Linked DNA regions of Xenopus tropicalis. The protein of the gene in region 1 interacts with the protein of each later gene in a biochemical or structural test. Links are inferred from orthologs where the notes say so. Each region holds a gene or a part of one and is shown on either strand. Other genes may lie near its edges.

What was found.
Region 2: the proteins of mlxip (region 1) and mlx form a complex in vitro, tested with the Homo sapiens proteins (2 studies listed by BioGRID, with this or other methods). The link is inferred for Xenopus tropicalis from reciprocal best matches to the Homo sapiens genes MLXIP and MLX.

The regions. Positions count from the first base shown.
Region 1 is NC_030677.2:162,022,100-162,025,993, forward strand, and holds the start of mlxip (MLX-interacting protein), read right to left. Parts: upstream 2,817-3,894; 5' UTR 2,750-2,816; coding exon 2,433-2,749; intron 1-2,432. UniProt on the Homo sapiens protein: Binds DNA as a heterodimer with MLX and activates transcription. Binds to the canonical E box sequence 5'-CACGTG-3'. Plays a role in transcriptional activation of glycolytic target genes. Involved in glucose-responsive gene regulation.
Region 2 is NC_030686.2:6,144,663-6,148,589, forward strand, and holds the start of mlx (max-like protein X), read right to left. Parts: upstream 2,619-3,927; 5' UTR 2,343-2,618; exon of another isoform or gene 2,305-2,342; intron 2,021-2,304; 5' UTR 1,988-2,020; intron 114-1,987; 5' UTR 106-113; coding exon 30-105; intron 1-29. UniProt on the Homo sapiens protein: Transcription regulator. Forms a sequence-specific DNA-binding protein complex with MAD1, MAD4, MNT, WBSCR14 and MLXIP which recognizes the core sequence 5'-CACGTG-3'. The TCFL4-MAD1, TCFL4-MAD4, TCFL4-WBSCR14 complexes are transcriptional repressors.

The DNA.
Region 1 (3,894 bases):
AAATTTATGCCCCTGTCTAATTTTGTTATGATGCATATTGCATATTTTCTGTTAATCCAATAAACTTTATATCACAGCTGAAATACTACTGTTTCCATAAGGCATATATATTAAAAGGAAGTTGCAACTTTGAAAGCTCAGCCAATGATAAACAAAACTCCAAAGAAAGTGGGGTTCCCAAACTTTTTCATATGACTGTATATGTTAACTAAAAGTACAAATCAACGGGGATCTCTCTACCCTAACAACTGAAACACTGCAACTCATCTGTGGAAGAAGGCCAAATATTTGGTGCCAGGATGCTGTAGGTAAGCTATAAGTGGTACCTGGCAGCTGATTGGAGAGTCAGAAACTGATGGTATTGCTTCTAATTCAGAACAAGTGCTGCCAAAGCAAATAATATAATTAAGGTAGAAAACCAAATCAGCACCAGTACATCCCTGAGTATGCTATGGTATAGTATGCTATGGGTTACTGCACAGGTGCAGTTTAGCTTTTGTGTTAGTAAATAAGTCACAGCAATAGTTAATGCAATTAAGCTGCTATGTCATTGGCCAGTGTACACCAGTAAACACCCAGGGTTTAATGTAATGAAAGTAGCACATTTTACACCAGATCTAGTAATTCATGGCAACCAATCAGATGTTTGCTTTTAAACAGGGAACCAGTATAGGTGGCCATACACACGGTCACCAAACAAGCGGATATGCCCACTTAAGGTGGGCGATATTGGGCTAATTCGATTGTCTGGCCCTAGGGCCAAACAATCAAATTACAACAGAAGGCATAGGTGCAGTGAATGGGCCAATGTAGTCAGGGTCAGACTGGGAGGTGCAGGGCCCACCTGATCAATGGCAGGGATTGGGTTTAGGCCAGCGAGGCCCATCGGGTTTTTTCCCGGCACCCTGCCAGCCCTGTCCAAACCTGAATGTAGTCCCCAATCTGATTGAAAATTAAACCTGCATGATCAAGATCTGGCCATTTTAGACCAGATATCGGTCGGGTAGGCCCATTGGGGGTGCCCATACACGGGCAGATAAGCTGCCGAATCAGTCTGAAGGACCTGAAACAAGCAGCTGAAATCTGCCTGTGTATGGCCACCTCAGTTTACTGATTGCATGCTACAGATGGCTAGATTGGTGCACATTTTGTTACTTTTATCCCATTACCTCTTTGCAGGTGACAGGTCAATCAGCTGTTTGAAGGCTCATGCAGGTTGCAAAGAGACAGCTTTGCCTACATTCCTTACCTGCTTGCAGATAAAACACACAACTTTGTTTTATCACTGGATATTACAGATACCCTAGATCTAGAATAATATCATTATCAAGCAGTAATTTGGACTGGCCTGCTGATCTTTATGTGTGACATTAACCATAAAAGGGTCAGTCAATACTATATTAAGTTTTATCTGCCCAACCAGCACCTACAAATAAACTTTCTTGGAAACAAAAGCCATATTAAATGAGAGGTGCTTCATTCTATAGTTTTGGAGAGAGCCATAATTGCCATTTGACCCATTTATCATCCTCCTCCCAATCATCAACATCATTTATTAACATAGTGCAACACACTTTACAATTTGTAAGAACTAAACCGATTGTATTATATACAACATATCTGTAATCTGATCTAAAAACTGGTGCCTTACAGCCCAATGTCATCATGAAAGGCAGCCCCAAAAGCTACACAGTAACTACTTTACACAAACTGTAGTAGTGCAGGAAGGAGTGATGCCATACTGAGCAATTTGGGGTATTTTTTGCCCAAGCATTTAACAGCTACATGGACAGGTAACATAATGCCCATAACTGATCATCTTCATTGATTTTGATAGCAGTTACGTAGACCCACACAAGGATCAAGTAACTGTCACTGAGAATCTTGGCAGCAAAATGTATGGACTTACCCTGTGTGCCATTGGTGTTACTGGTAGGCAGATAACACATTGATGACACTTTTTGCCTAACTGGACAATGGGGTACCAGCCTAGCTCTGGGTCACATCATACCTGCACAAACCAACAGGAGCACTCATATGTACCTAGAGAAAAAGGGGGACTGGTAATAGTAGCACAACAGCACACAGCTGGCAGTAACAGGGCCCATCTAATGTTACTTGTGGCCTGACCATTGCCAAACCAAATCTAACACATCAGCTGTGCTTTAAAAAGCCCCAACTGATGACGTCACTGGATGTAAAGCCGTGTATAAATGACGTATTGCCTGGGAGAAAGGCCAGTGTTGCTATACTGTGCTCTTTGTTGTACAAGCTGCATAATTGCATACAAGTTTTTGGTGTCTTATCTCACAATACTGCAGGGATCTTCCAACCTGAGTTACAAGTCCCAGCATCCTTAGGTTGGCTGGGGGATCCTGGGATTTGTAGTCCAAGGCCAAAAGATCCCAGCAGCACTGCAGGCACATGGGTACCTGTATGCCAGGGTCATGCATTCCAGCAGCTTGGTGAGAGACGCGTCTATGGACAGGTGACAAGAGCTGGTCTTGCCGAAGCTGTACGTCTGGCAGGCCTGTTCGTTTACGGTGTCGAAATCGTATCCTTTCTTGGGCGGGTGCTCGCTGTGCGGGGAGGACACCATGAAGTGGCCGCTGTGGATGATCTGCGCCTCGGAGCTGTCCGACTTCTTAAGCAGTAAGTTGGGCTCGTCCGTGTCTGAGTCATCATCCGGCTCTTGCTTGACCATGATGCTGGGGTGCGATAGACGCACCGGTAGCATTTTAGCCATCATCATCCCTTCCGATCCCAGCCCCGGGACATTCCAGTCCGCAGAGCCGATTTCTCGCTGCGTTATTTTCACCCCAGACAGGCGAACGAGGCCGGGGAGGCGAAGGGGGAGACTTAAACGTCACACAAAAGCACAGCCAATCGGCAAGCTGGAGACTCTGTGACTGGGCGTGGCTTAGTGTGATTGGTTTACAGGTTGACCGGCCTTCGACAACGCCCACCCGATGACGTTGCCAGTAGAGGTCTTTGGGTTGGTGGCGAAGGCGCTTTAGGACGCTGCTAGTTCCACTTTCTACTGTCTTCGTATTCATTCCCTTGTTTTGTAAGAGAAATGTGGGGCAGAGGCGTAACTCTATAGCGGAAGCACATGCTGCGACTGCTGGGGCCCCGGAGGTGTAAGCGTTATAATATGACGCCAAGTGAAAAGCAAAGTATTGGTTTACGGAACGTCTTATTTCTATGTTGTGTGGGGCCCTACAATTGTTTCGCTGCGGGGCCCGGGAGCTTCTAATTATGCACTTCATGAGATTTTTGAGTATTTGGGTAGAATTTAGTGTTTTTTCCAGTGACACAACAAGGAAGCGAAAGGCGGCAGTCTGAGATGGGGCAATGCTCCTTGTTATTGTCTTATTGTCTTTGCTTTGTTGGGCACGTACATTATGTGTGAAAACACTACATATAAATCACATGGTGTGCAAATGTGCGTCCTGCTGTGCAGCTGCTTGCTATGAGCATTGTTGACATTACTGCTTCTGGCTTGCCCTACCTACAGCAAGCACAGGGCTGGAGTGCTGACTCGGCTAGAATGGATCCTTACTGGAATTAGTTACATTAGAGCTGCCAGTGCAGCCTGGTCACCCACAGGCCCACAGATTCAAAAGAGGCTCGAACAGCCCCCCACTGGCTCAATAAATATTGACTGTCTAAAGCTGGCCATAAACTCACTGATAATATCGTACAAAACCTCGGTTCATACGATATTCGGTGCGTGTATGGCAACTCGGCGAGGCAACCGATATCGCAGGAAGCTGCAGATATTGGATGACTAGCCGATCGGGTGGGTGAAAAAGATTTTGATGGAGCCCGAGCAAAATCTATGTTCAGGGCTGAATCAGCAGAAGGAGGTAGAAATTCTATTGTTTCTACCTC
Region 2 (3,927 bases), on another chromosome or scaffold:
AATCATGTGCAAACAGTTTTAGGATTTACCTGTATTGGGCACTGAAGATGCACTTGTGGATCCAATGCTGTTTGCTCTGGACACTAAACTTCCCTTCTGCTCCATGACAGGAACTGCAAAAAGATAAAATCATATATACTAAATTAATATGAATGCACCCATGCCAAGTCTGTTGTGATCCAGTTCTTACAGTATCAACAGATTGGATTATTGCCCAAACGTCATGCATTTATTAGGCCGCTTTCTACTTCCAAATTAAACATTACCCCACCCGCGTGTACTAAAAAGCACTTACTTTGCCCAGGGGCAGTAACCCATGGTAACCAATAATGTTGTTTTAAAACAGGTCTGCCTCTCTTGGAATTGCTCTTGTTGTGCCGATAGATTTACTGCTTTCAGACAGAGGAGGGCGCTAACCCTCTATACCAAGCACTGGGATGACTGATTTAAAGACAGGAAGGTGTGTTTGTGGGTAACTAACCAGTTGCTAGGAGCAAATTTGCCCAGTGTTTATAAATGGGCCCCCCTGTTTCTTTTATTTATTTATTTTATTTCACTTTTGGTTCAGCAGCTCTCCAGTTTGGAGTTGCAGCAGCTATCCGGTTGCTCGGGTCCAAATTACCTTAGGGAGTGGTTTGAAAGATGGACAGGTATATGAATAGGAGAGGGGCCTAGAAAAATAAGTCATGAAAGTAACAATAATAATAAAACTGGAGCCTCACAGAGCAATAGTTTTCTGGCTGCCGGGGTCAGTGACCCCCAATTTGAAAGCTGTAAAAACTATAACAAATAAATAATGAAGACCAAATGAAAAGTTGCTTAGAATATTATTTAACATACTAAAAGTGAACATAAAGGTGAACTTCCCCTTTAAAGCCGTATTTCAAAACCATAGTCCAAAGCCACCACATTACGCTTTCCTGGGGTTTAAACAGTTTGATTTTGGAGATAATATACACAGTTAATATAATTTACCTGAGTTTTATAAATATAATGATGCAGATCAGGTAAAAGCAATGTCTCCCTGATATTTACAGTTACAGGTATACAGGTTATCCAGAATGCTTGAGACCAAGGGTATTCCAGATAAGAGGTCTTTCCATAATTTGGATCTTCATACCAATAAGGGGTAATTATATTTTAGTTGGGATCAAGTACAGGTACTGTTTTATTATTACAGAGAAAAGGGAATCATTTAACCATGAAATAAACCCAATAGGGCTGTTCTGCCCCAATAAGGGGTAATTATATCTTAGTTGGGATCAAGTACAGGTACTGTTTTATTATTACAGAGAAAAGGGAATCATTTAACCATTAAATAAACCCAATAGGGCTGTTCTGCCCCAATAAGGGGTAATTATATCTTAGTTGGGATCAAGTACAGGTACTGTTTTATTATTACAGAGAAAAGGGAATCATTTAACCATGAAATAAACCCAATAGGGCTGTTCTGCCCCAATAAGGGGTAATTATATCTTAGTTGGGATCAAGTACAGGTACTGTTTTATTATTACAGAGAAAAGGGAATCATTTAACCATGAAATAAACCCAATAGGGCTGTTCTGCCCCAATAAGGGGTAATTATATCTTAGTTGGGATCAAGTACAGGTACTGTTTTATTATTACAGAGAAAAGGGAATCATTTAACCATGAAATAAACCCAATAGGGCTGTTCTGCCCCCAATAAGGGGTAATTATATCTTAGTTGGGATCAAGTACAGGTACTGTTTTATTATTACAGAGAAAAGGGAATCATTTAACCATGAAATAAACCCAATAGGGCTGTTCTGCCCCCAATAAGGGGTAATTATATCTTAGTTATATCTAAGTTATATCTTAGAGTCTATGGGAGACAGGCTTTCCATAATTTGGAGCGTTCTGGATATCGGGTTTCCAGATAATGGATCCAAGCCTTGATACAACTGTAAGCATTTATTATAAAATAAAAACCAATAAAAGACAGTTATTAAGTATATGAAAGACTTACCCGGCCTCACATTATCACATAGGGAACATCAGGCTAGAAGGAAGAGTGAGAAGGATGAATACAAAGGGTTACAAACAGGCTATTAGAGCATAAGACATGTTTGCTGTAAGCATTAAGGGATCACACTATAAATGCCTGGGAATTGAATTCTATGGATATTAGACCAGGGGGTATAAAGTAATATTTGGGAGGGGGAGTTCCCCTTTAACGTATTAACCCTCTCCTATCCGTACAATGCTGATGGGATTACATTACAAGCTGCTTTCCCCTGTCAGTTTGGCAGCACTTCCCCAAATGGAAGGTTCCCGCACACGGACCTATTTACATTGAGCTCCGCTTCCAGTCGGTAACTCACACAACAGAACCGACAGCCGTCCCGCCCGGAGCTGCTGATATCGTCGTCCCGGAGCGCTGATTAAACGCCCCACAACCCCTTCCTATAGCGCAGCCCCTCAGCCCCTCAGCTGCTTCCCGACAGCTCCCCCAGAATTTCCTCCAAATCTCGCGAGAGTGTGACGTGCGACTACCGAGGATCCCAGGGCTGCCAAAATAGTACATTTCCAGTCATATATTGTTCGTTTTCATACTAGGTGGGTTGTTAAAGTCCAACGAATAAAATACTAATAATATCCTGAAACTACACGCACAGCAAAACTTTCTCAGCCCTACCTGCCCCGCCTCTTCCCTTTTCCTGGTAAATAACCCCAGTGCATACTGGGTAATGTAGTTCTTGTTTTAGCTGTCGCCTGATACTACGCTTTGAATAAACTACATTACCCAGCATGCAATGGAATAGGGTGGTTCGGGAGTCAATGAGCAGCCCCTCAGACTGAGCTCTATCTCCTCTTTAGGATGCTACTGAGTTGTTTGGGGGGCTCTAAGGTGCTGAGTGTAGAGGGAGGTAGATGGGCCATGGGAGGCAGGTATCCCTGTATATAGAGGAGATTTGGTGGGAGGTTGTCATATCCCAGCTCCCTGCCTGGCTGATGCAGTTTGGTTGGCTGAGGAGGGGTTAACTTACCCTTTAAATACCTAAAATCCTGCCTGTGTGTGGGGGGCTGCCTGAACTATAACTTCCAGAATCCCATAAATGGAGGGGAGTAGGTTGCACCTCTGGCATTGAACTTCATTACATTCAGGGATGTTTTACCTACGTCTCTTTGCTCATTGAATTACAACTCCCGGCACCCCCAGAAGCTTTGAGCTGATAGGCAGTTTGTTACCCTGTTGGTAGAATGAGATGGCTAGAAAGGGGGGACCCTTTACAGGCCCCGGGGGCCCCGCAGAGCAATAGTCAGGGCACAACATTGGGTCCTCCTATACTTATTTACAGGGAGTGCACTATAATTGTGTGTATAGCAAGGCAAGATGGGGTCAGGGGTGGGACTGTGTGTATAGCAAGGCAAGATGGGGTCAGGGGTGGGACATTGTGTATAGCAAGGCAAGATGGTGTCAGGGGTGGGACTGTGTGTATAGCAAGGCAAGATGGGGTCAGGGGTGGAACATTGTGTGTATAGCAAGGCAAGATGGGGTCAGGGGTGGGACTGTGTGTATAGCAAGGCAAGATGGGGTCAGGGGTGGAACATTGTGTGTATAGCAAGGCAAGATGGGGTCAGGGGTGGGACTGTGTGTATAGCAAGGCAAGATGGTGTCAGGGGTGGGACATTGTGTGTATAGCAAGGCAAGATGGTGTCAGGGGTGGGACATTGTGTGTATAGCAAGGCAAGATGGTGTCAGGGGTGGGACTGTGTATAGCAAGGCAAGATGGTGTCAGGGGTGGGACATTGTGTGTATAGCAAGGCAAGATGGGGTCAGGGGTGGGACATTGTGTGTTATAGCAAGGCAAGATGGGGGTCAGGGGTGGGACATTGTGTGTATAGCAAGGCAAGATGGTGTCAGGGGTGGGACTGTGTGTATAGCAAGGCAAGATGGGGTCAGGG